Linked DNA regions of Caenorhabditis elegans. The protein of the gene in region 2 interacts with the protein of the main gene of each other region in a pairwise test. Each region holds a gene or a part of one and is shown on either strand. Other genes may lie near its edges. The genes, in order: dnj-10 and R07B7.2.

Region 1 (16,161 bases), on a different chromosome or scaffold from region 2:
GGAGACTTATTTTGAGTTACCGAATATTGATAGTGGAAAAAATCTACATTGTTTGAAAATCTTTTTTGTAATTTTTATTATAACAACTGAACAACTTGATAACGCCAGCTTGCCTGATTAAGTTTACTCATGGTTTATCACTTGTAATTTTTAAATGTTTGATTTCTTTGCCATGACTCACCATAAAAACTAGATTTCCATTACCAATTTGCCCAATTCATTTACTCCCACTGACCATCGAAACTCGGTCATCCTGAGAATTCGGAAAAATTCGTCAAATCGAATTGTTTATCACATTGATAAATTGTTTACACCAAGCATTCATTCAAGTGTTGTAATACAGAAACTATAAAAGTGAAATGATGAGACAATACGTGTTCTATAGTTCACATGGGAGTAATTTGGAATAAATATATTATATTGGAAATAGTTCCACAACTTGAGAGAAGAAATTTGAAACAATTCCTTCTAGGCTTGAAATGTTTTGAGCTTGAAAATTGAAAACATTTAGAGAAAAAAAAAATACAAAATTTTTCAAATCTATATTTCATTTGATTGCCCGATAGCAAAAATACACCCCTGATCTCCGCGAAGGCGTGCCTGCCTGCATATAAGGCAAACGTAGGAAACGACCTACACCTAATAATTCCGTCCGAAATCATACTTCAGGGTAGGCTACATCAAGACTTATGAATGCTTAACATTTATTAAATAAATTTTCAATGAAAAATCCGTCAAAAAGTATTCATTTATTTTATTTAGTATCCATTGTATCCTCCATAGTATCCGCCACCATTTCCATAGCCGTATCCACCATTACCGTAACCATTGTTACCGTATCCATAACAATCGTAGTCATATCCTGACGAATAAGTTGGAAAGAGGAATCTGAGTATATTTCATTTGATGCCATAAAGTACTGTACTTCACCTACCCATTCACTTGCAATGCTGACAAAATGGCGAAGATCACAAGAATTTGGAAGATTTGACTCATTTTTTCGCGAGAAAGCTGAAGTTCGAGTTAAGCTTGAAATGTTCAAATTTGAAATTTGATGCCTTTTTTCATCACATTATTCCCTTTTTATACGGATTTTTAACAAAAACTTTTCTAGTGTTTATAAGATTAGTTTGGCGATCGAAGCCCTATTTTCAACGGAAGGGGCGTGGGAGTCTGATTTAAGGATCATTGCTGCCAGTTACTGAAAAATCAAAACGACCTTCGTCTTTGGTATACATTTCCTTATGCAGTGTTGAAGATCAAAACATAAGGCCATCGTTTGAGGAACAAGATAACGTAGAAATAGGGTACCGAATTGGATGAATATGACTTTTGGTCAAGGTTGAAAACATAAAAAATTCTGCACGAAGTGGGATTCGAACCCACGCACCCATACGAGTACCAGAACACCCAGTCGACCTCGAGCATGAGGCAAGCATTTCGCTTGAGTCTGGCGCCTTAGACCACTCGGCCATCCGTGCGATGGTAACTAACAGCGATGTGTATGTACACTTAAAAATGAAATAAAATGAGAACGAGTTGATAATTCGTGAGAGAGGTGATAATTCTTCTTGAAAAAAAAACGTTCTCCTGAAAAGCCTTTCATCAAGATAAAAACAAATAAAACTCTAAGTTTTGCGATATTAATACGGTACGCGGTCTCGACTCGATATTGTTTGTTAATTTCAAAAAGGTGTGTGCCTTTAAAGATATATAATAACTGTAACTGCAAACTCTCATTGCTGCGAAATCTATTTAGATTTTTCACAGTTTTTGTTAAAAATATATTTTTAAAATACATGTATGAATTAAAAATATAAAGATAAACATTAAAAAAATGACAAAAACTTTGAAAAACCCTGCAGCAACAAGAGTTTAGAACTACAGTACTCTTCAAAGGCGCACACTTTTTTCACACTTGATAATAATTTGTCTTTTGGCGCAAAAATCACAAAACTACTGTGTAAATTGCAACAATTATGCCACTTGAATTTCGGGGAAGTTCGAATTTTTATTTTGCATAAAAAGGATTAAGACTATTTCAGACTATTTTATTTTGAAGCACATTTTGATTTATCTCTGACATCTAAAATTAATCTAGTTAAAATTATGAAAAAGTTTCCAATTTTCAATTTCTATTATTTCTACTCCTTCACTCCCACTCGCCCATCTTATTCTACCAAAAGTGGTACTTTTTCAACGCAAAAAGCCATTCATTCACTCGTCACATCCTTCTTCTTTTCCGTTCGATTCAGCCATCTGCCTATTTCATTGACGTGGCAGATGGGCTCAGTTGGCTCAAGCATTTCCATTTTCTTTGCGAACGACTTCCGATTTTCTGGAAAAAAGGCTGCGGTGGCCAGGTGCTTTTCGGGCGCCTTTTTTAGTACCTAGCATGAGAAAAAGCTTCTTTTTTATATTAGGCTCTTAGATTTTATTCGTCAAGCTTATAGTTAGTTTCAATTTTTTTGGATCAATTTATATATTTTTAAAACTTAACAGTGTGGCGTCACAAGCGGCCAAAGTATTTTAAACAATGTCGCGTTAGATTCCATTATATTTTCCCATTTACTTTATGGCATCCTGAAATCGAATTTTTCAACAAAGAACAACCTGGCAGCACATGAGTGCACCTAATTATATATTTACAACAGCATTTTTGTGGACACAATTGTTTTCTTTCTATGAATATTTCGAAATATTATATGAAATTTTCAAAATAATAATAGTTTTCAGCTTAAACTGATCTACACTCGTCAAAATGAGTTTGTTGACGACTTAATTCGTTTGGCTGCTGGAAATGAGACAAGTAAGTTAGATTGGCATAACTTTTTAATATCAGTAGTGGGGATTTACATGCAATTATATTAATTCAGATTGACCAAGTATTTTAAAACACTTTAAAAGCGTTGTTTTTTTTTTTTGAAAGTTTTGGCACATTGCCAAATTTACGAAACTTGTTTGACAATACCTACAACACATAATTCGACCAAACTGGCAAAAAATGGAAATCCACAAAATTTCCTGAACACAATTGTCTGCAGAACGATACGAATGGGAGTCACTAGCCGAACGGCACATGCACAATATGTCCGATCAGCTGTTTGTCGCATTTGAGAAGTATTTCTTGACGAGTAACGAGGTGAGTTTGACAGGACTTTTTGTTGTAAAGATTGCATGTGACGACCAGAAGGTACGGAAAATGTATTGCAAGCAATTTGTAATTGAGTAATTGAGATGGCTATTTGCAAATTTTTTTCTCAATCCGGGCACAACTCCAGGCATCCCGATTTCGACCCTATAAAAAAATACGAACAGTTTTCATGAAAAATTGACAGAAGTTTAATCAAAGCTTAGCTAAACTTGGAAATCTAGGCCAAGTCTTGCCGAATTTATTTCCAGCTTTGAAAACTTTCTAACTAAACTTATATAATATTTTGGCAAAAATTGGCCGAAATGTGCCGGAAATTGACCAGTAAACTGATTGCTTCAAACTACGATCGGCTATTTAAATTAACATTTTGCATCGACACAACTTATAATTTATCAATATAGAAGTAACATCTGAACCATCCAAACTACCCGGACTATTATTTGTTCTTCTCTAACCCAACTATTTCCTTATCGACCTCTTTTCCCCCATCCTTGATAATCCTCACCAATTCATCTTTTTCCTATTTTTCCACAAAACCTTCCATTCTTTGAGTCTGTTTGGCGGTGTGAAATAGAAACGGAAAACACAAGAGGTCCCTTGTGACTATCAAAAGATAGAAACAACAATAGATCATGAAAAATGTGGAGAGATTAGACAAAAACAAGTGGAGAAAGCTCAGCTGTTCCCGCGGGAGATGACAAAACTCTAACTTGTCAGATAGAGAGACCCTTTCAAGTTTTTTGTTCTGTTGGTTCATTGTCTGCTTATTTTTTTATGCGCTAACTGAGCAATTGTCTGTGTCTGTAATTAAACATTTCAAAATTATTCTTGTTCTTTTTAATCCAAAGGGACAAGGATTTTCCTTTAAAAATAGTTTTAGATTTATAGTTTCACCAAACACTTAACCAAGATGTGTCTTTAAAATTTTTTAAAGATAATTGAAAGCCAGAATATGGAAAAAGGAAATAACAGGAAAATATTTCAGAGCATACTCAAAGTTTAAAAAGTAGATTTTCGTACTCATTTCCGGTCAGCTATTTATCATTTCTCTCAAACTGTTTCTATTGAAACTTTGTTTTTTACTTGAAAAGTTTGATTTCAACCTATTCCAAATTCAACCAAAATTATTCAAACTTTTAATACAATAATACTACCTCAAAATACCTCAAAAATAATTTAATTTATTTTCAGGTAAAAAAGAACGCAGCAACGGAGACATGGACATTTTCATCGTCCATTTTCTTTGCCGTAACCGTCGTCACTACCATCGGATACGGTAATCCAGTTCCAGTGACAAACATTGGACGGATATGGTGTATATTGTTCTCCTTGCTTGGAATACCTCTAACACTGGTTACCATCGCTGACTTGGGTAAGTGGGCAGGCACTTATATGCTTTTACTAGAAAATCTGTAGTACGTGAAGTTTTTAAAAAAACATCAGTTACATCTGATAGCTACTGCGATCAGCTAATCGCATCTAAAATTTGTTTTTAAAGGGAAAATGTAGAAAATGTATTATAATTTTAATAATTTTCAGGTAAATTCCTATCTGAACATCTTGTTTGGTTGTATGGAAACTATTTGAAATTAAAATATCTCATATTGTCACGACATCGAAAAGAACGGAGAGAGCACGTTTGTGAGCACTGTCACAGTCATGGAATGGGGCATGATATGAATATCGAGGAGAAAAGGTAAACGTTTTTGCCAGTCAAGAAGCGTTTTTTGTTCGTAATGTTATAAAACACATTTATGAAACAATCGATCAATCACAAAAACTAGGGGTTCCATTGTAAGCTGGCTTTGGTTTTTTGTATATGTTCGACAGATTTTTTGGTCGTTGGAAAACTGTAAAATATTTTTAATACATTTTTAATGGATTTTGAAAATTACCTTTCAAAACTTAATTCACTCATCTCAATTTTTGTCTTTCCAGAATTCCTGCATTCCTGGTATTAGCTATTCTGATAGTATATACAGCGTTTGGCGGTGTCCTAATGTCAAAATTAGAGCCGTGGTCTTTCTTCACTTCATTCTACTGGTCCTTCATTACAATGACTACTGTAATTTGTTCCAGTTTGTTGAACTCTTTGAAATTAATATTTTTAGGTCGGGTTTGGCGACTTGATGCCCAGAAGGGACGGATACATGTATATCATATTGCTCTATATCATTTTAGGTAAATTTTCAATGAAAAAAAAACAAAAATTCAAAATATTTTTAGGTCTTGCAATAACTACAATGTGCATTGATTTGGTAGGAGTACAGTATATTCGAAAGATTCATTATTTCGGAAGAAAAATTCAAGACGCTAGATCTGCATTGGCGGTTGTAGGAGGAAAGGTATGTATAAGCAGTTTTTTTTTTTAATTTTGAAAGCAAGTCATCTCTCTAAATAAAACAGGAGAACATGTGCTCATGTATCTAAAAAGGACGAAAACGTCCATAAATTTCCACATAAATCCGTTCTATGCGAAATGTCTCTAATGCGAAATGCGAAATGTTGAAAAATACGTTTTGATGTTTCGTTTTTGAGTTGCATCATTTTTGGAGGACTCCTTCATTTTTCTCATATATATAAATAGTCAGTTTCAAGTGCGATTTAGTTTTACAAGACCTTGCGAGAAAATGATTTCCATAATGTTTTCTTTACTTATATTATTGAGTTTGTTTTGTTTTGGTTTTGTGGTCAAAAATATGCATATAGTTGAAACTTTTAAAAAACTTTTGCCTTTTTTGAAAAGCATTTTTTTTTGCTTTTTTATGTTGATCAACGGAAAATTGAAATATTTCCAGGTAGTCCTTGTATCAGAACTCTACGCAAATTTAATGCAAAAGCGAGCTCGTAACATGTCCCGAGAAGCTTTTATAGTGGAGAATCTCTATGTTTCCAAACACATCATACCATTCATACCAACTGATATCCGATGTATTCGATATATTGATCAAACTGCCGATGCTGCTACCATTTCCACGTCATCGTCTGCAATTGATATGCAAAGTTGTAGATTTTGTCATTCAAGATATTCTCTCAATCGTGCATTCAAATAGATTTTCCATTTTTATATTTTGTCATCTTTTTTAGTTTTCAAATAGGGAAAATGGTTTTCTCAAATCAGTATTTCAGTTTTGAGACATTTTTCTCCATTATTTTAATGGGTTCTAAATACAGTCATCGCGTGTTTAATATAACCTTCAAGATGAAAAATGAAAAATTCTGTGCAAAAAAAACCACTTTTCCATTTTGAAATTTCAATTATTTCACATCCTTAACTCACCGCCCTTTCCCTAATTAAAAACGGGCTAAAATTTCTATAAATTATCGATTTTTTTTCATTTTCTTTCCCTTTTCCAAAAAAATGTCACCGTATTTTCACATCCAGGTGATCTGCTCTTTCAAACTATCCCGAAAACCTTGCTTTTTATAAAGTTTGCCTGAACAGATCACAATGATTTCATATCTTTTCAATTCCATCTTCACACGACATTCCGTTTTTCATATTTTGTCCTATAAAATATTTTGCTAGTTGTATTTTTATTTTACAATAAATTTTGATTAATTTGTTTCGGTTTAAATTAACAAAACAATAATTTAGCAGCACAGATGTGTTCCCAATATTATAAGGAGCAAAATATAATTCCAAATTAAAAAATACCGCCCTTCTTTGACTGCTGTTTTCTCATGTACCTGTGCTTGTAATGAGAATATAACTTCCTAAACTCACTAAACTGCGTATCTTCAAACTGGCGTATCTTGAAACATGAATGCCTAGGAAACAAATGTTCAACTGACATAATGATCAGAAATGTTTTTTCTTTCTTTTAAAATCTTTGTCATTTTTAAATACCAATTATTCGTTGCGTTACATTGAGTCAAAGCCATTTTACCAAAATCCACAAAAATTTTTGAAAACTTTTCTGTTCTACCAGTCATAACTCAACATCCATCTAATTTCATAAAAAAATCTTTGTTGTGTAGTAAAACTGAAAAACATTTTACCACATTTTATCAATTTTGAGGTTTTTGATATTTTCATGTTCAGCCAAGTTACAGACCATTTTCTAAAAAAATCCAGTTTCATCCATAAAACTCTTCATATCATTGCTAGTTGTGTTATCTCTTTCTGAATAAAATTTGATAAATTTGTTTCGGTTTAATTGAAAATAGAAAAAAAAAACAAGTGTAACAAAAAAGACACTATAATCACTCTAATAGAACTACAAATGAGACAAAACAAATTTCAAGGGAACAAAACTGGAAAGATTGGGACAGTAATCGATAAATTGCGACAAATATTAGGATTCTGCAGCTTTTTTCTCGGGGGTTTCACTAGATTCTTCGTTTTTTGGCTCTTCTTTTGACTCGGACTTCTCCTCGGACTTATCTGGAAAATTTCAATTAATACAAATGAAACAAAAATATTTAATTTTTGTTTAGAAATTTATATATTTACCCGAAAATTTTTCGTTTAATTTTTTCGAAAAATCCCTCGTTTTCTTGATTTTCGTCAATAGTTTCTGCATTCTCAGCTACTGGCTCACTTCTCCGTTTTTGTGATTCTGATGCACCTATAAATTAGTAATTTTGGATTGAAAAGAATCAAAAATCAGTTTTGGGGAAAAATTGAGATTACAAGTGCATCAGAATGCAAAAAAAAAAACAAGACTTTCAGGTATTTTTCAAACAACTTTAAAATTTTACAAACTTTTTGAATCTTTACAACCAATAATGTCGGTTTAAAAAAAAAAAATTAATGAATTTTTTTTGGTAATTTCTCGATTTTTTAAAGACAACTTTTTGATAAAACCTTTGTTTCAAATTGAAATCATATTTTTTCACCTTCAGACTTCTTTTCCTCATTTTTCTTCGTCTCCTTCTCCTCGGTTTTCTGATTTTTCTCCAATCCTTTGATGGTTCCATCTTTCAGCTGTTCCGTCGCAGCCCAAGCCAACATAATTTGTTTCTGTTCGGCTGTCAAATATTTCGGAACCGTTACTTTAATATGCATATATTGATCTCCATTTCCGTAAGAATGCAATCGTTTTACTCCTTTTCCTGTTAATCTGAAAATTGTTTAATGAATATTTAAGTTCCAATTTTTGGAGATTTATTACCTCATTTTAGTGTGACTGCCAGTTCCTGCCGGAATATGAACATATGTATCTCCATTAATTCCAGGAACCTTTACAGTACCACCAAGAACAGCTTGAGCCAGAGAAATATCTACGTCACAGTGAATATCATCTTTCTCACGTCGGAATTTCAAAGATGGTGCAACGTTGAAACGAACAAATAATTGATTTTTCCCCACTTGGAACTTCAAACTATCTCCATTATTAGTTCCAGCTGGCACATTGAATGATACTTGACGTCGTTGAACGGTTTGACCTTCACCTTCACATTCTTGACAAGGATTCTGAAGAAAAAATTAAAAGCTACAATAAAAGAAAAATCAATAACTCTACCTTATTATAATGTCCACTTCCTCTGCATCGATTACAAGTTGTTTGATAGAAGAAACCACCCTGAAGACGTTGAGAAACTGCTCCAGTTCCGTTACAATACGGACACGACGTCTTTTTGTGACCTGGTTCAACTTGAGTTCCGTGACATTTCAGACAATCTTCAACTACGTTTACAGAAACATTTTTGGTGGCTCCTCGGACAGCTTCTTCGAACGAAATATCCATAACCATTTCCTGAGCAGCAGAATGTCCGAAAGCACTTTGGGCAAAATTATCAAAATTAAAGCCACCCTGGAATCAGCGAAAAAATAAATAAAACTGTAGTTTTTATTAATTACAATAAAAATTATATAATTAATATAATATTCAGAAGAATTCATAAGGAGAACTCACCATTCCACCCCCTCCACCAAATGCTCTTCTGAAAATTTCGTTAACATCAACATTTCCATGGTGGTGGAAACCTCCAGCACCACCTCTTCCACCAGCTGGGCCACCTCCGCTTCCGTATGCATCATATTCTTGACGTTTTGTGTCATCGGAAAGTACCTTAATATTTTTGATTCGAGCCTGCTCTATTGTTTGTTGAAAATACCTCATATGCTTCAGAAATCTCTTGAAATTTCGTCTGCGCTTCTTTTGTTTTGTTTACATCTGGATGGTATTTCTTGGCAAGCTGAAATAACGTATTTATACTTACAAAGTATTCGATAAAAACTTATATTACCTGGAAATAAGCCTTTTTGATTGCTTTTGCATCAGATTTTTTGTCGACACCCAAAGTCTTATAATAATCTTCTTTGCTTAGTGCATGCGTTGTGTGAAGTTGAGCTGTAACATAATGTTTTAAAAAAGCAGAAAAGAATTGGTTTATCACCAAATGGAGAATTATTAACCTAATTTTGTTGTGGAAGTCGTAGGCGTGGATACTTGAGCTAATAAAGGTACAGATCGATGAATGAGCCCGCTTGAACGGTTTAAGACAAACATTCCGAGTACCCTGAAACAAATTCACATTTTAAAATATAGAACATTCTAAAATAAATAATAAATTAATAAAATTAAAATAAAAAAATAAATGTTTTTTCAAGCTGTCTGCAAACACCGTCACGGTAAAACACACATTTCGGACGGAACATCGGAGCATCGTTTGGATTTTTCAATTTTCAACTTTTTCTCCGCGAATTTCAAAATCCGGCTCTTTTTCGGGAAACAATGCTTATTTACTTTCAACAATAATAAAGCTGGAATGGATGAACCGGATAAGGAGAAAATCACGAAAGTCATCAACGTATGTAGTAAAGAGTCTATAGAAATATGACTTGATGGATTTTCGCTAATTGAAAAAATCAGCTTTTCTGACCAGCAAATAAAATAAAAGAACCACTAAAATGATAATAATATTTACTGAAAGAAAGTAAAAAAAAAATAAATAAAGAAAGTTTGATTGTATTATTTGACAGAAAAAATAATGGTCCTATTTGGACGTCATTGTCACATCATCGCTTCGAGTATCATCGCCCTGCATCGAATTTGTAGAATCCAATGACGATTTGCTTTTCTTCGACCTCTTCAGGATCCTATTCATTGTGTGACCATCGAACTTCATCGACTGCACTTTTGTCCAATTGGCACGGAGTCCAGGGAGGATTCTGTGACTCTTTGTAGTCTTTTTCGATGCCGATGACACTGGACGAGCTGGAAAAATATAAATTTGCATACTTATACGCTTATTTATAACATTTCTTACGCGGAATGAATCTGGCAGCAGGCAGTTCAGTTCTTTGATCATCCATACGTGAGCTCATACTGAAAATGAGATCCATCATGTCTACGGGTTCCTCGTTCTCTTTCTTTTCGATCGCCACTGGTTTCTTCTGGTCGTCAATGATTCCGTTGACAATCATTTCCCAGGTTTCCACATTTGTTGCGTGCTCCAGTTCGACGACGAACTTATTAATCATGTCATTCGAGGATGTCGGATCAGGAGACGAATCAATTGCGAGGCATACATCTTGATCAGTTGCCGTTTCGCTTCTCTCTTGATTCATCGCCACGTCGATCTGCTCGTAGAACAGTTTGAAACTGTTTTGGTTGATGGTCAGAACACTCCCCAAGATGATAAAATAAGCAGCTTGGCGTCTTTTTCCAAGTGCAATGAGGCACTTTGCGATTGTAAGCAACACATCTCCAATGTATTCGTTCAATCCAAGCTTCCGAATCGATACAAGCGCTTCCAATCCGTAGAGATATGCTTCGTGGAATTCGCCATTTCTCAGCATCTCTTCGGATAGCTTCGACTTATATTTGACTACATCTCGCTCTTTTCCGAATTTCGTGGCGTAGAAGAGAGCACTTCTGTGAATAAAGAATTGATATTTTTATTAATCGTTAAAACTAAAAATTACCTGAGATCTCTGATAATAAAGAAAAGAAGATCTGTCTCAGCATATAGAGCCTTGTCGTAATAGGCGATGTGAACTGCTTCAAACTGGTCTGTTTTGATGGCAAAATCGATGCATTCTTGATACTTGCGACGCGATTCCTCGTATTTTTCGTCTAGTGACAAGCATTTCGCCTCAAGTAACATGATTTTGGTCTCAGACACAGCTCCTTCCGTATTATTCTCGTTGAACAATTTCACGGCTGCAATCTGTTCAGCACATATTGACAAAAGCTTCTTCTTCTCATCTTGATTACTCTCGACGTCTCTTTCACATCCTTCGAGGCACACGGAAGCGAACAAAATTCGAGCTTGACCGATATACTTCTCTCCGTTCTTCTTATTGCTGGTGTAATCAATGAGATCCTCAGCAAACCGTCGAGCCTTGGGGAACTTTCCCATTTTGAGTGCCTGCTCGACGATGCGACGTGTGGAATCACATGCTTCTGGGTAGTTGAAGATCAATCTGAAAAATTAAGGTTATAGAATGTCCAGCTCATTTTTGTGATTCACTTACTTGAACATGTTCAACTCATGTTCGAAAAACTCCAAGGCCTTGGCATCATGGTTCAAATGCCTGCACACTCTTCCGTAATACATGTAGATTGTACCAAGTAGTTGAAAATTTGAGGTTCCGAACTCCATTATCTCCTCTAAGCGTCCTTTTCCATCCTCGTATTGTCCCAATCTCATGGCCGTCACCGCGCTTTTCAGCATTGCTTCGGCGACTTCATCCTTGGGACCATCGTAATAAGAGACGTCCATTCGTTTTGCGAATGTGGAAACTTCTGAAATGAATCGAAAATTGCAAGCAAAAATAAAAGAAATAGAGGAATTTTACGGAAACAGGCAAAACATTCCCGCGATCTCCACGAATACACGAAATATTTAAAACGGGGAAAGTTTCTTCAAATATCTCACGAGGTTTAATAGACTATTGCACATTTTGTTATAAATTTTACAAATCTTCAATAAAACAACCGCTGACAAACAAATAAACTTGAAAAATGACTCGAGAATCTCGAGACAGATCTGTGGGGAAGTGAAAATTGGCGGTTAACGCGTAGTTTTTTCTCGCGCACTCAACTTCTAATTTGGCGCCGCTTTCTGATATGTCGTCAAATGTGTTGCCGATGTACGTAAGTACACCATTACGCGCATTTGCACACTCACAATCAGTGGAGTTTCTCCGCGAATTTCAAAATCCGGCTCTTTTTCGTGAAAAATGCTGACTTTCAACGATAATAAAGCTGGAATGAATGGACTGGATAAGGAGAAAATCACGAAAGTCATCGAAGAAAACACATCAGCGTCCTACTCGTCGTTTTCCAAAAAACAACAATCAAGAATTGAAGAGAAAGTTTTAGAAATCAAAAATCGTTTGCAAACAGCAACCAGAGAAGAAAGACAAAAATCTGAGATACTGGTATGTATTTTAAAAGCTAATAAATTTACTTAGAGCAAATTTCCAATTTTCAGATGGAGAATCTTGAGATGAAACTGGAATCATCTAGAGATTTATCAAGAGACTGTGTTTGTATAGATATGGATGCTTATTTTGCCGCAGTTGAAATGAGAGATAATCCTGCACTGAGAACAGTTCCTATGGCCGTAGGCTCATCGGCAATGCTGGTAAGCACCTAACTCAATTTGAAAAGTAAATTTTCGATTTCGGAAAAGCTTTAAATCTATTCTTTCAGAGCACATCCAACTACTTGGCTCGCCGTTTTGGAGTCCGTGCTGGAATGCCTGGCTTCATCTCAAATAAACTTTGTCCGAGTCTAACGATTGTTCCAGGAAATTACCCTAAATACACTAAAGTCAGTCGCCAATTTTCACAAATTTTCATGGAATACGATTCGGATGTTGGAATGATGTCATTGGATGAGGCATTTATAGATTTGACAGACTATGTGGCAAGTAATACAGAAAAAAGTTAGTGATTTAGATTTGATTATTAACAAAAAACTATTTGCTTACTAGAAACCTTCAAGCGTCACAGATTCGGCGGAGATTGTCCATGTTGGTTACCCCGTTTCGACGAGAATGAAAATACTTTGGAAGACTTGAAAATCGAAGAATCGATCTGTCCAAAATGCGAAAAATCGCGGAAAATCTACTACGACCATGTGGAGTTCGGAACTGGACGAGAGGAGGCTGTTCGAGAAATTCGATTTCGAGTTGAACAACTCACGGGATTAACATGTTCTGCTGGAATCGCATCTAACTTTATGCTCGCTAAGATTTGTTCTGATTTGAACAAACCAAATGGTCAATATGTGTTAGAAAATGATAAAAACGCGATTATGGAGTTTTTGAAGGATTTACCGATTCGTAAGGTGAGACTATTAAAGCATAACCTTCTAGTTTTACCTAGATAATTTTTTAGGTTGGAGGAATTGGTCGTGTATGCGAAGCTCAACTGAAAGCAATGGATATTCAAACTGTTGGTGATATGAATCTGAAGAAGAACCTATACCCTTTGTGTTTCACGCCTCTCTCACAAGAATCTTTCCTTCGAACGGCTCTCGGACTGCCAGGTCGTCCATCTGAATCGGATCCACGAAGAAAAAGCATTTCAGTTGAGAGAACTTTTTCTCCAACTTCGGATTTCAACATCCTCCTAGAAGAGCATCAAGAAATCTGTAGAATGCTTGAAGAAGATGTTCGTAAATCAGGAATTGTCGGAGGAAAAACTGTAACTCTAAAATTAAAATTATCTTCATTCGATGTTCTCACAAGATCGTTGACACCTTCTGATGTGGTGAAGTCACTTGAAGATATTCAAAAGTTCTCACTGGAGTTGTTGGAAAAAGAAAAAGGAAAAGAAATTCGATTGTTAGGAGTCAGATTATCACAATTGATATTTGAAGAAGATGAGAAAAAAAGAAGCAAAACGGTATGTCAGAAAATTTTGAAAACCATAACTGATAAATATAAAGCAATGTTTTCTTCTATTTTTTTGAGACATTTTATTTCAGATCACAGAGTTTTGGAATGAGAAAAAACTTCAAATTCAAAATCTACAAGGATCGGAAAACGTCGACGATGATGATGTCATAATGATGGATACTCGTCCTTGTCCCATTTGTGGAACTGATGTCGAAAATCGTTTAGACGTTATGAACTGCCACGTCGATGAGTGTATTCTGAAAGTGCAAAACGATGACGGACCCGAGTTAATTTGCGTTTCTGTGGAAAATAAATCAACGCAGAAACCAGAAAGACCTTCTACGAAAAAGCGAAAACTTCAAGAGAAGAGACCAAAAGCGAAGAAAATGGTGACAATCGACTCATTTTGGAAGAAAAGTGGTTAAAAAGAATATAATTCTAACTGTTACTAACTGTGATTAATCTATACATCCCCTTCTAATTTTTGTTATCCATGTGTATATTGTCATGAATCGTTTGAATGAAAATCAACTTTATTCAAAAAAGAAAAACAATGAAAAGTCATGAGATAATTCATATAGCATTGAAGAGGAGACACGTGTGTGGAGGAAATTTTGATTTTTTTGGAGAACTGAATGTTGAGGTATTTCGATTTCAAATAAGATCTGGTCGAGAGAAAAAGTTAAACGAAAAAAAATGAATGGAGGAAGACTAGTTGGCTAGAGGAGAATATCACTAATTTGATAAAGTAACTAGAAAGTTATTACCGGGATACTTTAGGATTACGGTAGACAAGGCCTACCGTAACCGCCTAACAAAAATCAATATTTCATGGCATGTAAGCTCGAGCCTGAACCTTTGCCAACTGAGCCATAAGTTGATATCCTCCATGAATTGACGGATGATTATGAGGATTTGGAGTGACGGAGGAGCATCGATCTCTTGGAACAGAAGATGTCGACTTTTTGAGTTTGGCACGCTTGTTCTGAAATTAATATTTTTTTAAATTTGTTATTTGGAATTTAAGAAGTTTTAGAAGTTCGGGTGGTTTTAATTTACCAACTTTCCAATGACATAGACTTCTAAAGATGATAATTTCGCCATGTCTTACGCGCAAGGTCTCGCTACGCGGACAACGAATTACTGTAAAATCTAAGGGCCTCTGATAGTGTTTACACGTATTTTTAAAATTTTCATTAATATTAAAATTGAATAATATGCTGCAATTGTTGATCGACACGAGTTACTGTTATCCGCTTTCCGCGTGGCAATACCACCGCGCGTAAGTTATGGCAAAAGTACACAGAGGTAATATACATATGCCTTCGTGGAAGTCCTATTTGAAATCTATTCAGTGAATATTCAAATTTCAAATGTTCGTCTTCAAATTGTCCCATGTCATTTCAATTCTTCTCTCTCCCCTAATAAAATGTGATGGTTATCTTACCCCATACAAGGTGTCGGTATGTCGCGTGCCGTTTTTTGACTTGAAACAAAAACTCATTGACAGGAGACAAAAGGGAAACGTGTTTTTTGAGTGAATAAGTGTGACAATAAAAAAAAAACGACTAATTACCTTTTCGGACAAGACCACCCTGTGTGTTTAAAAGTATCACCTACAGTAATCCCCACGAAATTAAAATTATAAAATCGATCCTTAATTATCAACTTTTTGAGCATTGTCCCAACTAGAATAAATGTTATTATCAAACAAATAGGTATTTTTCTATATTCTAACACTAAATTTCAATGAAAATATTGAGAGAAATGGCCACACTTGCTCATTTTGTAGATTTGCTGAACTAAATGAAACTGCCAAAAAGTAAAAAAAAAAAACTAATGAATAAGTTTCAAATGCAAATTGCATGGAGATATAAGTGCCTGAGAGAGACTGTTACACTCAATCAAATTCATACCTGCCTATTAGTCAATACCTTTCTCGGCGCATATCTTCTTATCAGATACCTAGGACTCTTTCATTATGCAACTATTGCGCTCCTTTCATGTTCTTACCAATTTGTCATGGTACCGTACATAACCTATTAATAAATCATATGCGAAACCATGTCATTATATCCCGAAAAGAACCGAACAACTCTCCTAATTCGAGACGACAGTATCAATCAGTGAGATCTGCTGGAAAATTAGGAACCAAGAGTTTTGTACGCGTTCAAAACTCTCTTCTCAAGGTTATAGTTTCGTTT
Region 2 (16,911 bases):
TTTCGAACATTTTATAATTCACATTCTCCGAAAAATATGCTCTTCCTGGTGTTTGTTTCAGTGAAACCACCTTCTCATAACTAGTTTACTGTATATCGGCCTCATCGAAACAACACAAACTACATTTTGAAAATAGATTATCAAGTATCGGAGGTCTGGTCATCGGATGGACGAACGACGCGTCGAGGGTAAAAGTTTGACCAAAACGTGAAAAGAAAGAGATTATTCAGATCACTTCACGATTGTTTCACGAGGATGGAAGTGGGCGGGATTCAAGGAAAAACCGTCGTTTGGAAAAGAAATCATTGGATACGGTAGTTGTTATAAAGCTGAAATTTGGAAAATTCTAGGCATTCATATGAGTTTCATAGAATTTTTTGGCAATAGATGTAGGACAACATTTTTAAAACAATTTTTTTGAAATTTCTGAAATTTTTTGACTGCTAAATTAATTTTGCAAGTTTTCAATGAGTTTCCCAATTCTCTAGCAAAAAATTTCACTCTAGAACCTGTTCAGAAATTACTATACAATTGTATACAAAGTTTGCTTCTTTCCAGAAATGTTGAAGATGCTATTCAAAATTGGTAACTAGCGGAAAATATTCAAATTTAATTTTTGTTTCTTATTTGTTGAAGACAACGTAGATATTCTAATAGAAATCTCAAATTAGAATATTCTTTAAGTAATTTTCTGTCTTTAAAAGTTGAGTAACGAATAAATTTTTTCCTTTAACTGTATGCCTCCAAATATAGAAAAAGAAAAAATCACCATATAATCAGAAAATATACATATTTTCCTCATTTTCTCAAATTTTACAATGTTATCCTCCAATGTATTTCCAAAACTGAATGTTTTCAAAATGTACTCACAACACAGTTCACAGTTTCATATCGACACTTGGTTCTACTTTTTTTTGTTCTCTTGTAGTAGTTTTTCCTCTTTTTTGTATAACCAATACGAATCCCTCATTGTTAAAACTATATTGTTCAGATTGAAGATGATGAACCCTGTTAAGCATCGGTTCCGCTATATTGTCGTCTTTCTTGGTTTGGCATGTCTTACTTCAATTCTTTCAAATTATATTATTATTAATTTCACATTTATCTGTATGAAAGATGATCCTACTGGAATTGAAACTACTGAAAATGGGGTGGGTGAAATATTTAAATTATTGTTCATTTATGAAAATTAAGTTTTTCAGACAATTTACAACAGGTATGACTATTCAGTTGCTGAGAAAAGTGCAATAGTTTGGGCTGTGGCAATTGGTACAATACTTGGAACAGGTCCAATTAACTACTCCTATGTTAGATTTGGAGCTCGTATTCCGTTTTTTATTGCTGGAATTGTATCAGCTTTTGCAACAGTGCTAACTCCATATGGTGCATATCTTGGTTTACCGTATCTATTGGCACTAAGATTCGCTCAGGTAATGGTTGGCTCCAGAAGATAATTTCTAAGCCTTTTTTGAAAATGGGGCAACAACTTGAACTAAATTTTTTGAAAAATCTAAGCACTTCGGAGTGTTTAATTATGATGGTTGGTCATGCTGGACTATTGAAATTGAAGTTTTATAAAAATTTCATTAATTTTTTCAGGGTCTTGCTTATTCCGCCGACTTTGCAGCTATTGGAATTGTATGTGTCCGATGGGCTCCACTTGCTCAAACCGGACTCTTTATTTCAATTCTAACAAGTTTCAGCCCAGCAGCCACAGTGATGACAAATGCCGCATCTGGCTGGGTAACTGGACATGAAGATAATCTCTAGACTGTTTTGTTTCTTTCAGTTGTGTAAATCGTCATATGGATGGCAGTCTGCATTCTATGTTCACGCAGCTGCTGGTTTTATCATTTTTGCTGCATGGCTCTATTTTTATAATGATGATCCACAATTGAACCAAAAAGTGTCAGCAAAAGAGTTGACAACTATTCAAAAAGATAAAACAAAAGCACATATTGAGAGGGATTCGTTTGTTCCGTATTGGGAAATTTGCAAGAATCGAGTTATTTTGACTGTTTGGATCAACTCTTTCTTTGAAATGACTACTTTGATTCTTCTATTGACCTATTCTCCTATATATTTCCGTAAAGTCCTTGACTTTAGTGTTGTCGAAACTGGAATGTTGATATCCTTGTCGGCAGTAGCTCATATGCCAGCTAAACTCTTATCTGGATGGTTATCAGATCGTCAATTCCTTTCTGAACGTGTTCGAATGTGGTTCTTCAATACTTCATCAGTCGGACTTGCTGGATTCATGTGTGTCAGTTTGGCATATATTCCTGTCTCATGGAAGTATACAAGTGTTATTATGTTCAGTATTGTCTACACTTTGATGGGAACAAATTGTGGTGGATTTTATAAATGTGGAACATTTGCGTCACGGTAAGCTTTGATTTTGTTTCACCCCAACCGTACTCATACCATGATCGTAGTGATTTTTTGAATGACAAAAGTGGGTTTAATTTCAAAACTTAAAATTTTAACTGTACAAAAATTGTTTCCTTAACGTTTTCCTACATATTTGTAACTTTAGAATACTCTACCAAAATTAGGACAAATGATTTCGCGGTCGAAGTATTACGAGTTTTCTCTTCAACCGCATGTGGTGTCAGAGGGTCCCATATCGGCTTGATCTAGGTCTACGAAAATTTCGGTATTAAAAAGCAGACTTCTAAACTGATTCCGCATGATTAGAAGCGTGCTGACGTTTCAAGTAAATGAGCACGCTAGTAAATGAGGGTTTGCCCGTGAAATTTTATTGGAAAATGAATTCCCGCATTTTTTGTAGATCAATCCGTAATGAGACATCCTGTAATCACTGCAAATGGATGACAGAATCTTTAGAAAATGCCAAATAACTTTTATTTGAATATAATAAGGGTTGAAACCTGTGAAATTGCTTTGGATTTTTTCAAAAGCTCTTTTTTATTTTGGTAATTTTCCAAAACTAGGAAATTTGGTAATTCTGAGTATTTTGAGTGCATTCAGACAAAATCCTAAGTGGTGATACTCCAACTGTGTCCAAATCCAAAAATTTAAACACTGAAAATTATGAATTCACTGTAAATTATTCTGAAAACCATGCAATTATCCATAAACAAATTTCAGTCAATATGCTCACTTTGTGCTTGCGATGATTCAATTTATGAAATGTATTGCCTTATTTGCTGCTCCAGCAACAGTTGCCATATTTGTATCAGATGAATCATCTCATACTCAATGGGGTCATGTATATATTCTCAATGGTTTACTTATGTTTATTGCCAATATTTTATTCTTTCCAATGGCAACTGATAAACCACAATCATTCACATTTGTCACACGAGAGACGATTGAAGAAGAGAAAAAGAAACATCAATTTGCTTGATTAATTCGAAAAAAGAATTAAATATTACGGTTATGTATATAGATTAATGTCGAAATTAAATTTATATTCCGAACATTTCACCCAATAAACAATTGTTCTTCGTTCAATTTACTTTCTGATTTCTAATACAAACGCAGCACCAGTAACCCAACACTTCCCCCATTCCCACTCAATGTCCCTTGAAGACGCTGAAACTTACATTCAATAATTCCACTGAACACCTAGACTACTTTGGACGACAGAGCTTGAAAAAAACTTTATTATGAGAAAAAAACTTAAAAAAAACAAGAGAAACCATAGAAAATGGAGAAGGAACATTAGGTTTCCAGACATCTGGCAATAAAAAGGGAAACATTAATGAGATTTGAGAAATCGCGTTTTTAAATCGGTGAAACAATGGGCAACGAATGATGAACAAAAAACAATAAAGTTTACTATTACCTATTCAAAAATTAAATCTACTTTTTACTGGGAGCCTTATAGAAGTCTTTTGACCACCTTTTTGCACGACGAGTATCGCCTCCTTGTTCGGCGTTCCATTCCGCTTCGTAGCGCGCTGGAGCTGAAAAACGTAGTTAATTTATAAAGGTTATTTACATAAATTCGAAATCAATAATACCTTTTCTTGTCCTCTTTGATGAAGTAGGTTCTTTATCAATTGTAGAAGAAGGAGTTTTTGAATTTTTCTTGGTCGTCTCATTCCTTGAATTTTTGCGAGATGAGCCCGGTGGAGATTGTGATGGTTCGAGTCGTGCTCTTTTCATACCGGTGGAAATGGCAACAGAAGATCCATATCTTGAGCGCGAGGTATGTGGAGATGTGTCATCTGAAAAATAGAAATAAAATAATATAGAAATAACTTGGCGCATCAGGACTGAGCGACAAACGACGAATTCCGTTCGCCGAAAAAGCCAGATCCCACACATCCCTGGTGTACATTGTGTAACCTATATTTAAACAACTGGTGTTCGATCCTCACCGGTTTCAGATGCGCTTGGCATTGGAGACTCGTTTCTATTTTCAGTTATAGAAATCGCTGATATTATGGATCCGAAATCTTCCACTGGTGTCTCATTTCGCACATCTTGATTATTGATTTCCTCTGTTTCTCGAGCAATCGAATTGACTCCAGATACAGCTTGGTTGACGGATCCAACATCTGTTACTGTTATATTATGTTATGTTATGTTAGGTCGTAATTTATACTTTTATTACCGATGATCGCATCGACAGTATTCTCGATTTCAAGATCAGCCTCAAGCCTTTCGGTTTCTTCGGGAACGATTTGGTTTTCATTAACATTGACTTCTGGCTGAGAAATCGGCGCTGCAGAAGGGATATCGGCAAATGAAGGATTTACATTCGCCGAATTTTGATTTTGTGCATTTTGATACATCATTGCATGATTCCGTTGTTGCTCCCACGCCGCTGAAATTGTAACATATACCTTTACTATAAGTTGCAGAAATTGAGCGAACCGTATTGAGAGTGTAGAAGCATCTGCTGCTGCATAAAAACATCATATGGCGGCATGAACGGAGATTCAAAAAAAGAAGATGGAGCCGCGGAGTTATTCATATCTAAAACGTGTAATTTCTCATAAGTAGTTTAATTGACTATAATTAGAGGTAGTCAAAATTTATACTCACGAGATGGCATCATTCCTGGATGCCAACTCATCATGCCAGCCGCAGGTTGACCGAATGGGCGAATGAAATGATTATTTTGCCAATCGGGTCCCTGTCCTCCCGAGGAATTCGGCATTGATGGAAACATCCCTCCGACCCCTGAAAATTAATTAATTACTATCATTTACTAATATATATATATATATAAAGCGCTTATTCCGTTTGTCCATAGTTTGTAGTCTATGTAGTCTTTGTAGTCTGCGAAATTTTAGCTTCTGGAGGGATAGTGAGTTGAGGTTAGTGTAAGGATATAGTCGGGTTACTGTAGTGGTACAATAGTGATACGGTAGGAGTACTGCATGATTACGGTAGTTTCAGAAACATTAGTTTTTAGCTCCAAGAGGTCGGGAGCCGCGCCGGAGGTGCGGTCCACGGCTGGTCAATTCATAAAATTATTGAATTCACTGATTTCTGGTGGCAGTGGAAGACAAATTTTGAATTTCTTCATTGTCTGTTAGAATAAGTTTAGCCGAACACGAAACTGAACAGAGCCAAGTGCATTTTTAATATAAAATATTTCACCTCCAAACAAATTTCTAGCATTATGTGGTTGCTGAGCCCCTCGCATGTCTTCAGCCTGATTTCCTTCTTCTTGGGGAACAGGAAATTGGGACCGTTGTTGCTGTGAAGACATACTTCCGAGCAAGCCAGATGATGAACGAGCAAAATGCGAAGATCCATCATGTCGAGTTGGGAATGATGAGCATCGCTCTGAAGTTACTTTTTTAAACGAGAAGCAAAGTTGATGGTCTGACTTACGAGAATTGATCATTTCAGGGAAATGACTTTCCATTGTTTCTTGACTTGCTGGTGGATTAACCTGTGAATGAATTGACTGCATGCTGTTTGAGTTTGTTTCTGTAAATTACTACTCTCAAAATAATTGATTTATTTTATATTAGTAAGCTCTATTGCCAATTATACCTTCTCTCTGTTCCGTTTGATGAAGTCTCGAATGGAAAAACGATTGAGAATCGGCATCATTGAGACTGGTCTCATTAATTCCAATTTGTTGCGAAGCTTGTGGCATTTCAGTTTGTTCGAGATCCTCTTGACGAGCTTAAATTTAATTTTATGATGAGTATTAGAAATATTTTCAATATTTTGCGGACATATACAAGAGATGTTCCTATTTTCAATGTATGCACCTGAGCGTAGGACGAATTAAAATATGGGAAAAAGTTCGAATATTAAAGTGGGTTACCTTCAGAATTTTGCAACGGATGACTCGGCGGCACAGGCGCGGATTGCTGATCTGGTGGAGGAAGCAACTGGAGTTGTTCAGGTTGCTGGAGATAAATTGGAAATGCTGTCCGAGCTTTGATGGGCCGGCGAGCTTGAAGATGTTCCAAAAGTGAATTTGCCAATTTTTCGATTAAACAAGATTCTGAATTTGTACCGGCGATATTGGTTGCATGACAAGTTTGTGTTGTTCTGTTCGCCGTTGAACAAATGGCTTCCACCTCCTTATCCTTTGTTTGAACCTCGTATTGGCTTGAAGTTTCCACAGCCGTGATAATTTCTGATTGGACATATTGATCTCTTGTTGGAGCGTGATGTTGGCTCCAGGCATCAGCAACGTCGACTTCAGATTGTACTCCTTGATCTTTTGCGAACGTACTTTGATTTGCATAAATATCGGAAAGTGAGGAAAAAGGCACACGTGTTGATCCAAACAAGTTCCCAAAACTGCGACGTCGTCCAGTTTGTTCTGTGTTATCACCGTCAGAAGCACTCATCTGAAGCGTTATAATGATTATTAATTTATTAAAAATCAAATGAGGGTTTGTGAAATGGTTTCATACAAAATTCCAAACAAAAATGTTCCTAAAAACTAATTTAGAAAATAATTTTCGTTTGGCGAATTATTTACAACGGATATGACGCAACTCTGCGTACTTTTACCTCGGCTACAGTAACCCATTTCGTTTTTCAAAACATATTTAAATACACAAAAGTCCTGGTCTGTTTTCCTGCATTAGTTCGCATCATAATTTAGGTATTGTAGAGTTTACGAATGCGATCTTTGGCTCAATAATACCTAAATTTTGAAAAAAGTTTACTTTCAACCCTTTTTAAAAATTATATTGTGTTTCTGTACATCCTAATTACCGATGCTCCTTTATAAAATTATAATTGTCTATAAAATCATAATGGTATTATTTCACGCCTTCTAGAGAGTATAATTAATGAAATTAAATACCGGAAAACACATTAGACAAACGTACCGATTAAGATTTATCACAGAATAAAATTGTTAAGAAAGTGTCTATGACATGAACAGAAAATTTCAAAATAAGTTCACATTTTGCAACGTAGTGTTGCGATTTATTTTTTCAAACGAAATTTCAGTTTTTCAGTTTATTTCCCAAAAGAGACCAAACGACATCTTGCTAAACGCAAACATATTTTTTAAACTCTCTGTGCATTTCCATGACTTAAAAAACACGTTTTCAAAATGGCAATGGTAGAACATGAAAGAGAATAAGAACATTTAAGATTCAGAAATATAAAGTTCATCAACATGATACTCGCGGTTTCGGCGTCTTTCACGGAATCTGGCAACATCTTTTCTAGTAATCACACCACGAAGCTGAAAAACAATACTAAAAAATAAATTTGGATAATGTTCGTCCTCACATGATTATCATCGTTCACCACAAAAAGGTATCGAAGTCCAAGTCCACGGAAAAGTCGGAAAATGAATGGAAGAGATGTGTTCAGTGGAACACGGTGCGGATGAGGATGCATGTAGGGCTCAATGTCCAGGAAACATGACTCGTCGAAATTTGTTAATCCGAGTTCAGCAACAGATTTCATTTGGCTGAAAATAAAATATATAACAATTGAATTATAATATTTTCGTAGTATGTTGAATACCAAACAATTTCTGTTTTAAAATTCGTATTTTATTCAATATAAATCACTTACTCGTCGTCATCCTGGCATTCATAAAAATCATTTGGAAGTGCAGAGTTTGAAGCTCCTTCTTCCTCGAAAATTCGATTTTCCAGAAGTTTGAACAGTTGTGATCGCAGAATATAACCTTTCAGGCGTCCATAATCAGGGAGTGATTCGTATGGCGATTCTTCGATTCTATCTACTACTGGAAAGCCATGATGAAGTGTGGAACGAAGAATTTCAACGATTCTGGATACTCTTTCTCGCCGTTCTAGAGCCACAACATCTTTTCGCATCACGCGGCTGAAAATTAAAAAAAGATTTTCGAATTGTTACAACAAAAAAACCAACTCTGCCAAAATGTTTCTGCTCATCTTTGGTGGATTCCAACCAAGAATTGGAACTTCTGCTAAATCAATATGAGCATCATAAAGTCCTTCATTGAACATATCTCCAACCCATTTTGTTACCATCAACACCAACATAATAGGTAATCCAAATGTAATATCTTTAGTTGCTTCCATTATAATAGCTGTTAATGAAATTGTCATTCGAACAACGCCTCCGAGTTGTGCGGCAGCTCCTGCCAATGCGTATTTTCCTGGATCAATTCCAGTAACCGAAGGGAAAAGTCGTTCAACAAAAATTCCAAACAGGCGGCCCCATGCTGCACCAGTAAGAATAGCTGGAATGAAGACACCAGAAGGTACAGAGATTCCGAACGTCCAGAGAGTGAGCAAGAAATATTCAATTCCAAAAATAACAAGAGTTGTGACACCAAAAGAATCTGAAAATATTTGGATCTTAAATGTTTTTGAAAGATCAAACTTACTTATCGGACTATGAAACATACTCTTCACACTTTCTTCAGGATTTTGAAAAAATAAAGAAGCTACTGCAGAATATTCTCCTTTTTTGCACCACATTTGATTGATTTGTGTTGATGTTGCTGTAGGATTCGCTCCTATCGGCTGACAATCGTCAATTGCGAATATTGTGAGGAAAGCAAGAAATCCTGATACCGCGGCAACAAGAAGACATTCGAACAAACGACCCAGTTTGCTGCTCACATATTTTTTACGGAACTCGGTGAGTTTTGTATTTAAATAATTGAATAAAGCTCCAAGACAGCCTCCAATTATTCCAATGAGAAGAAACAAAGGAATTTCCCAAATATTATAATCCTTATTTTCGAAAACTCCGAAATTCGCGAGACCTGTCCATGAGAGCCATCCACTACGTCCATTGAACCAACTGAGAATCCAATTTACAGTGAATGAAGAGATCATTGCAGAGAAAAACATTCTCCATGTCAAAGCTTGATTCCAAAAGCTTGCTCCTTCTTCTAAAGAGAATAGAACTCCTCCGATTGGTGCTCCGAAAGCAGCAGCAACTCCAGCAGCAGCACCAGCAGAAACGAAATCTCTTTTTTCTCGATCATTTCTAAACTCGCGGAAAAGTCCGAAATCGATTCCAAGGGAATAACTTTTTCCCTGTGATATCCCAGCTCCTACAGCAGCTCCAGAATGGATCATAGGACCTTCTTTTCCAGCACAAAGACCACCGCCAACCGAACATGCAACTCCAACTGCTTTTGAAACGAGCGTTTTGAGACGAACAACCTGGAAAAAACGAAAGTTTCAGAAATTTTTGAGCTGGAAATGACACCTCAGGAATCGCAATTCCGTTAAGATAACACTTTATTTGAGGAATTCCAGAACCTCCAGCAATCGGAGCTACATAAATCACAAGGATTGCAGCTATAGTTACGAGAACACAATTATATCCTATCCAAGCTATCATTACGGTCCACATACACCCTGCAGTCGTTCCACGTTGCTCTTCGCCACACTTTGAGAGCACTGAATGTTTCGTTTTCAATAGATTAGTTAGATAAGTATAACTGACAATATTTGAGAATCCAGTTAAATTTGATATCTTTACTGTAGTGTACCATAATATCAATAAATGCAGCGACGAGTCCAGTGAAAACTCCAATCAAAAAGCATACAAACCAACGATTTCGAGAAATTCGCCAAAGAGTTAACTGAAAAGTGACATTGTTACTGTATCTATGAAATCTCAAAACCTGGTGAGATGGTTTCTTTTCAGCATCTCTATAGAGTCGATTCTCAGATATTTCATAGTTCAGACTTTCGTATCTAGCAGACAATGCTTCATGGCTATCCGTTCGACCAACATCATCCAATTGCCTTGAGAATAACAGCTCTTCCTCCTGAAATAACTTGATTTTCAGAAAAAATTGCTGGTTTTTGCCCGCACTAGTCGTCTTCTTTGCCGAGCAACGTGTTCTAGATTCGAGTTTGACATGACTCGTTCTAGCCCCGACACAGGATCTTCATTTGGATCCAGACTGAAAAATATTATTTCCGAGAAGTCAAGTGATATTTAGTCTCTTACCTATTAGAACTTGTTCGCACCCTGTTACGGGATGTCATCTGAAATGTTGAAATAAATCCAACTGAACTTATTGTAGACATAAGAGAAGTAACTAATTTCGATAGACACGCAACATGTTTATTGTTGGATGTGAATAGAATGAGTATGGCGGAGTATTTTATTAAACATGGTGTTTATGGAAGAAGGAATTATAAATTTATAAAATGAAGCAAGGTGTGTAGACAACTACGCAGCTTCTGAGTATCCTTGATTGTGTACGAGTTGATGAAATTAGAAGGCACGGAATCCACGACCACGAGAGTTGACAACCTGATCAGTGACGTATTGGACTGGACGATATTGAACTGGCTGAACCTGAAAAACCAATATATTGGTCACCACAGATTCCTAAGATTTATGTTTCATAATATTAATCCAATTGGTGGCTAGTATTGTAAAACTCAATCATAATCTTTAATTCAATTCTAGCAAATAAAAGTTTGAATACTCACTTGACGAACAACATTGTTTCTCTGAACAGGTGGTCTTGCATTCACATATCTGACGCTTCTCACAACTTGCTGTTGTTGTGGCTGCTGCTGTCTCTGGAAGCGCGGGGGTTGTTGCTGGAAACGAGGTTGCTGTTGCTGGAAGCGTTGTGGCTGGCGTTGGAAACGTTGCTGAGCCACTGGAGTCTGGATTACTCTTTGCACGACCTGCTCATACTGAAAACGAACAATATAATTCTGACACTGGATACTGAATAATAATGAATTTTTACCTGTGGTCTTTGAACTTGAGCGCGTCTTGGAACTTGTTGAACGACTTGACGACGAATGACTGTTGGACGATTATTATTGTTGTTGTTTGTTGGACGGAATCTTCTCGATTGCTGTGATTGAATAATCACATTGCGTCTCTGCTGTGGACGGTTCTGACGAACTTGTTGTTGCGGTGCTCTACGAATCACTTGAGATTGCACAGGAGCAGTGATGATTTGGCGAACAACTTTGACTGGAGCTTGACGAACATGCTGTACGATAGTACGAACAGGAGCCGTTATTGGTCTCTGTTGGATGATTGTTCTCACAGGTTGAATCACTTGGGCAGCAGTGACATTTCGTTTCAATGCAAAATTTCGTCTGGCGGCAAGAGTTGAAGCAGCAACACCCTGAAATCATTTACCTTACCTCCGTGAAAGATTGGAAGAACTCTCGACACGCTGAAGAAGCTGAGGAGAAGTTGCTGTCTGTCTCTCCGGAAGGAACTTCACACAAATTGAGACCATCTGTTCTGATTTTTTGGCAGAAGCCTGGCTTTCTATCAGGTTTTCAATAGTGGATGATCGTATTTCCAACTATTCATCGCGGTTTCAAAAAACACGAAGAACGTCTAGGTTCTATCGCGACACGAGAGGAATAAATCAAACTCTCGACCTGATTTTTAGCCTTTTACTACAACGCTTAATGCGTGTGGTATCCAGATTTCACTTCAAGAATCCATTTTTCAAAGCTCGATATTCAACTATAGAACAAAATCTGGTAAAAACGTACTCCACGCTTACGAACGACTGGAACAGTCGTGATATTGGTTCTTTTGCGAAGGGCATTCTGTAATGTGATGGTTTATTAGAATGAATTATATAAACAAGATTTACCTTGACGAGCTTATTAACCAGCTTCTTGGTGGCAACAGCGCTCAATCCTGCAGCCGCAGCAGGTTTTCCACGGGCACCGAAAACGCGTTTTTGACCTCCAGCTGCACGACGAGCAGCAATTGCTTTCGATTTCTTCAAAACCTTGTTCGCCAAAACAACTTGAGCACTCTTTCTTGGTGGGACTCTGCGGTTGTTTCTTCCGGCATTTCCTGGGCGAGTCTATAAAAATTATTTATTCTTAAAAGTTGCTTATTTTATTTTAAAACTCACGGGTTTGTTTCCAGCTTTGTTGCTAGTAGATGCTCCTGCTGGTGCAGATACTCGCTCGGACTTCACTTTTTTCTGGCCATGCTTGATGATTTCATCCAGAGACATGTTGATTTTTTCAGCCATTTCGATGAACGATATGAAGAATGCGGATAAAACTGAAAATAAACTGTTTTTAGAAAGAAAAGAACAGACAATGAAAAATATAAGACGATATGAGTGTAACAAGATGGTGAATAGAATGAACGAAAATGTGAGAGAGAGAGTGAGGGGGAAAGAGAGTGAGAGAAGAAGAGCAGATGGGAAAGTCGCGTGGCAGAGTACGAACGGCAATTGCGGTTGCGGAGCGGTTATCGATTGATGACTCACAGCGTAGAAGAGCAATTATAACAAAACCAAATTATTCAGTGTTTGGCCTATACGTTGAAAAAAACAAATTCCCGTTTTAAATGCTGTTTCTTTTTTGAAAATAATAAAACTGATGATCGGTGAGCAAACAGATATTACTGCATAGCAGCAGAACCGACCGGTCTGAGTGTGCACTAGACAGCTGTTAATGTTTGCACTGATGTAAAAAAAATTAAAAAAAAAATCGATTTCGGTGGGCAAGGTGGAACATTCAAGTGGGTTTCATAGTGAGCAACGAGAGAATACATAGTTCGTATTGGGGAATTTCATAAATTTAAGGAAAAAACGGATTTTAATTCAATAAATGTCTGAAAAACAGTATTTATAAATATATTTATTCAGCAAAGAAAATCGTTTTTAAAATATCGGTACTTGTTTTTAAATCACGAGACTTCTTGGACGCAAACACCAGAAACGACGGCACATTGCAGACAGTATGCTTGAAGATTTCCTCTACAGTATCCGAGTACTGTAGAGTATATCTTGGTGTCAATTCGCCCATAAAACTGCCAACACACAATACCAAAAGAGGCTAATGACAGAAATTATGAAAACAATGAAAACGTTTGTGAATAAGGATGTGCACTTCTCGACGATCTGTGCTTTTCTGGCAATTTCAGAGTATTTCTCCCGAGAGAAGGCTGCCAATGTGAACGATGATGGGAAAATGAAGCATAACAATAGTTTTATGTGTGCACGTATTTCTCGAATCCATCCCAGGCTGCCATGGACGGAACTCGTGAGCTGTAACAAAAATTATCAAGTAACATGAAATCTCGCTATAGTAAAAGTATTATGTTTCAGAACTGTGTATTTATGTTTTCGTAGAATTTTGACACTTATCAATATAGAATCAAGAATCTTACTTACAAGATGAGCACCCGAAGAAATATAAAATGTAGAAATCTAACCGTTAAATTGACATCCCATTCCATTTGATTAATGATATTCGTCTCATTTGTTCTAACTTTTGAATACTCTTTGATAACATCTTCCAATTCATCTTCCTCATATTGATCCATAATTTCCTGCAACACAAGGCAATCCTCAAATCCACAATTGACACCTTGACCATTGAATGGAACCATTGCATGTGCTGCATCGCCCATCAATACCAATTTGTCGAAGAAGACGTGCTGTGAGCATTGAACACTTATAATTGCCTGCGGTTTGTTTCTGGCAATTGTGTTTCTGATGTGATCTCTAGAATAATATTCGTTCGAAAACAACAAGGAAAAATGAAGCCACTCACTCTCCAAGAATCTTGAAGATTTCATAAAAATTGTTCTTAAAAAACAAAACAGATTCTACGGGACCAACCAAATTAGACTCGAACTCTGAGAACGTGGCGAACATCGAAACTGAAAATTTTGACTTTAGATAGATATAATTCCAATATAAGTCTTACCAGTCAATGACTGATCTTTATTTACAATGGCAACAAGGATAATACCTCTTCTTCTCCAGGAATAATGTGTTCCCAATTTTAGATCACATTGTTGTGTAGAATTTACACTCAGATCAATATAACCGAATTCCGAATACTTTTGACTGAAATTGAAACCTGGAGCCTTGAGAAGGCTTCTTCTAATTGAAGAGTGTGCTCCATCACAAGCCAGAAACAGATCACCATCTACAGTACTCAAATTATCCGAATTCTGTACAATCAGAGATTCACTTTTCAAGTCAAATTTGGTTGCTTTACAATTGAAATGAAATCTGTAATTGTAAAATCTGTTTGCTTAATTAATTGTGATGTTGAACTCACTTAACATTATTATATTTTTCCGCTTCGTTGATCAATATTTGGCTCAGTTCTTGACGATTTATTGTGAGAATGAACTAAAATAGTTTAAATTAATTGTTTTCGATAAAAAATTCTCTATTAGCTCATTGACACTGTGCATTACATTTTGACACCTCATATTTCGGTTAATTTTCAGATATTACAAAATAAAAACGACGAAAATTCATAAATATAAGTTAAGCAATGATGTGTACTCTTGAACTTCTACTTACATCGTCATCATTGAGAACAGGTAGTCTCTTCAGTTTTCCTTTTGTGTCCCCAAAATGAGCAATTTGATCTCGAATTGGCACACCAATATGAATAACTTTTTCCTTCAGACCAATTCTCTTCATTGTACTCATTGCACGAACGCCTAATGCCAAATTAATACTTTTTCCATTTTCCATATGGTTTCCACGTGGATCAAAACGCGACTCGTAGACATCCACAATCCATCCCTTCTGTCCAAAAAAACACGCATTCGCAGATCCAACAAGACCTCCACCAGCTATCACAACTGACGGCATTGTTCAGAAATGAATTATTTAGGAAGAAAAACAAGTAAATTAAATAAATCTTCAGCGTGTCAAATACGTGATTGAATTGTTTTACTTTCTGTAGTCCTTGGTCGACCCCCCAAATATACCATTCTAGTTGTGACGGGGGTTCCGCTCAGGGGTGTGCGGCAAACTTGCCGAATTTGCCGAATTTGCCGAGCACGGCAAATTTCAAAAAAGTAGATTTGCCGAATTGGCCGAGCTCGGCAAATTTCGAAATTTGCCGCACACGTCAAAAATTTTACAGTACAATTTTGATTGATTTTTTCGCCAAAAATTTAGTAAAATGACACAAAATTGAGTTAGTTTTATGCTCAACTAGACATACTACACGGAACTAATTCAGAAACCAGATGTGTGTTACGAATTCGGTAGTTTTGGTGTTCCAAAAAACATCAAAAATTATCAAAATTTTCCGAGTTTGTTAAGCACGGCAAATTTGCCGAATTTGCCGTGCTCGGCAAATATTGAAAAAAGAGAGATGCCGAATTTGCCGAGCTCGGCAAATTTTGAGATTTGCCGCACACCCCTGGTTCCGCTATTGCCACTATGGGACTAGAATAACTCTCATTTACCATCACCTTTTACACAGCGACGGGGAGGCCAAAAGAGCAAGTGGGAAGAATGTAGGTCACAATATAACGACAGACAGGCCGCATAGATGAAACTATAGATAAACAATCATCTGTGCATAGAACCAAACAGCAGTAATGATAATGTAAAGTCGGGAAAAAACTCTTGTAAAAATTTATCATCAGATTTTTTTGAACTTTCTAAAAAACACGCATCATTAAACAATAAAAGCTATAAACCAAGTTTTCCTCTATTCACATAAATACCAGCAGCAGCCCCAATCAAAGCTAATGTAGATGTAGTTGTCATTATTCTTGACAGAATCTTATCTTGCCTTTTTCTTCTTTCAATTACTTCCGAGTATGGAATTCGTGAGAAAGTAACCATAGAGTACAATGGAATCCAGCTTTTTGGAAATATTGAGTTCATGATTGTATCAAACTTTTTACGAAGTTTGTAGGAGCTTTTATTCACAAGATCCTTGAGTTCTTCGTAGTTGTACATTGCAAGATCATTAATGGAATGAGCATCGTTGACTCGACCGTCTGAGTAGACTTTGACTGCTTTGGCTAAAAGTTGAATTACAATTCGCAATTGAATGTTTGTGACTTACCAATATCATTTCCGTACTCCTCGAGTGTTTCACTAAACACAAGACAATCCTCAAAGCCCTAAACTGTTACAAAATAATTTTCAACAATTTTCATTAATTTATGAAAACGAACACAATTCATTCCCTGTCCGTAAAAAGGAACCATTGCATGAGCAGCATCTCCCATTAGAACGAGATTATCGAAGAATGAATGAGGTGAACATTTGATTGAAACAAGAGGTTGTGGTTTTACTCGATTAAATGTATCTGCTATGTGTTCCCTAAATTTGAAAAAAAGTTTTTAATGTGAATGTTCAACTCTTAATCTTACTTTCCAAGTAATAAAAATGCATCTGGGAAGTTTTCTTCAAAGAATGAAAGTACATCTTCTGATGTCGACATATGTTTCTCAAATTCCGAGAAAGGCGCAAATATTGTTACTGTAAATGATACGGATTATCAAATAAAACAAATTAGTTTTGCAACAAACCAGTAAAAGTTTTATCCCTATTAGCCAATGCAATCAAAGTGAAATGACCTCGTGGCCACAAATGGAAGACATTCTCTTCGAAGGCAAATTCATTGTTATTTGCCATTATATTTAACTCTACATATCCATGTTCAATGTATTCTTGGGAAAAGTCAAATCTGTAAAATAATATTTTTTGAAAATTTGGAAAAAATACATACCTCGGAATGGTCATAAGAC

What was found.
Region 1: the proteins of R07B7.2 (region 2) and dnj-10 interact in a two-hybrid assay, tested with the Caenorhabditis elegans proteins (one large-scale study listed by BioGRID).

The regions. Positions count from the first base shown.
Region 1 is NC_003281.10:8,624,626-8,640,786, reverse strand, and holds dnj-10 (DnaJ homolog dnj-10), read right to left. Parts: upstream 9,623-16,161; 5' UTR 9,613-9,622; coding exon 9,519-9,612; intron 9,454-9,518; coding exon 9,350-9,453; intron 9,299-9,349; coding exon 9,218-9,298; intron 9,172-9,217; coding exon 9,016-9,171; intron 8,914-9,015; coding exon 8,623-8,913; intron 8,574-8,622; coding exon 8,272-8,573; intron 8,221-8,271; coding exon 7,997-8,220; intron 7,726-7,996; coding exon 7,611-7,725; intron 7,542-7,610; coding exon 7,538-7,541; coding exon of another isoform or gene 7,453-7,537; 3' UTR 7,222-7,452; downstream 1-7,221. Other genes in the region: fip-1 (Fungus-induced protein 1), read right to left, coding at 759-888, 935-996; twk-7 (TWiK family of potassium channels protein 7), read left to right, coding at 2,737-2,809, 3,045-3,142, 4,346-4,526, 4,694-4,850, 5,093-5,219, 5,266-5,335, 5,381-5,499, 5,953-6,207; gpr-1 (G-protein regulator 1), read right to left, coding at 10,100-10,320, 10,373-10,980, 11,031-11,531, 11,583-11,830; polk-1 (DNA polymerase kappa), read left to right, coding at 12,291-12,491, 12,545-12,697, 12,766-13,000, 13,049-13,404, 13,455-13,964, 14,047-14,382; Homeobox protein engrailed-like ceh-16, read right to left, coding at 14,787-14,942.
Region 2 is NC_003283.11:12,052,951-12,069,861, forward strand, and holds R07B7.2 (PUM-HD domain-containing protein), read right to left. Parts: upstream 6,800-16,911; 5' UTR 6,798-6,799; coding exon 6,263-6,797; intron 6,118-6,262; coding exon 5,983-6,117; intron 5,917-5,982; coding exon 5,818-5,916; intron 5,770-5,817; coding exon 5,581-5,769; intron 5,158-5,580; coding exon 5,020-5,157; intron 4,951-5,019; coding exon 4,849-4,950; intron 4,799-4,848; coding exon 4,577-4,798; intron 4,536-4,576; coding exon 4,350-4,535; intron 4,197-4,349; coding exon 3,990-4,196; intron 3,933-3,989; coding exon 3,829-3,932; 3' UTR 3,612-3,828; downstream 1-3,611. Other genes in the region: F10C2.7 (Major facilitator superfamily (MFS) profile domain-containing protein), read left to right, coding at 1,002-1,151, 1,203-1,430, 1,600-1,743, 1,790-2,385, 3,112-3,370; clh-6 (Chloride channel protein), read right to left, coding at 7,553-7,651, 7,699-7,882, 7,990-8,262, 8,311-8,746, 8,792-9,581, 9,628-9,821, 9,868-10,006, 10,049-10,195 and 2 more; pqn-53 (Prion-like-(Q/N-rich)-domain-bearing protein), read right to left, coding at 10,651-10,734, 10,872-11,084, 11,141-11,530, 11,913-11,969, 12,017-12,235, 12,287-12,409; kmo-2 (FAD-binding domain-containing protein), read right to left, coding at 13,181-13,435, 13,603-13,894, 13,944-14,052, 14,100-14,410, 14,460-14,533, 14,711-15,007; kmo-1 (Kynurenine 3-monooxygenase), read right to left, coding at 15,842-16,179, 16,224-16,281, 16,336-16,483, 16,534-16,642, 16,693-16,850, 16,893-16,911.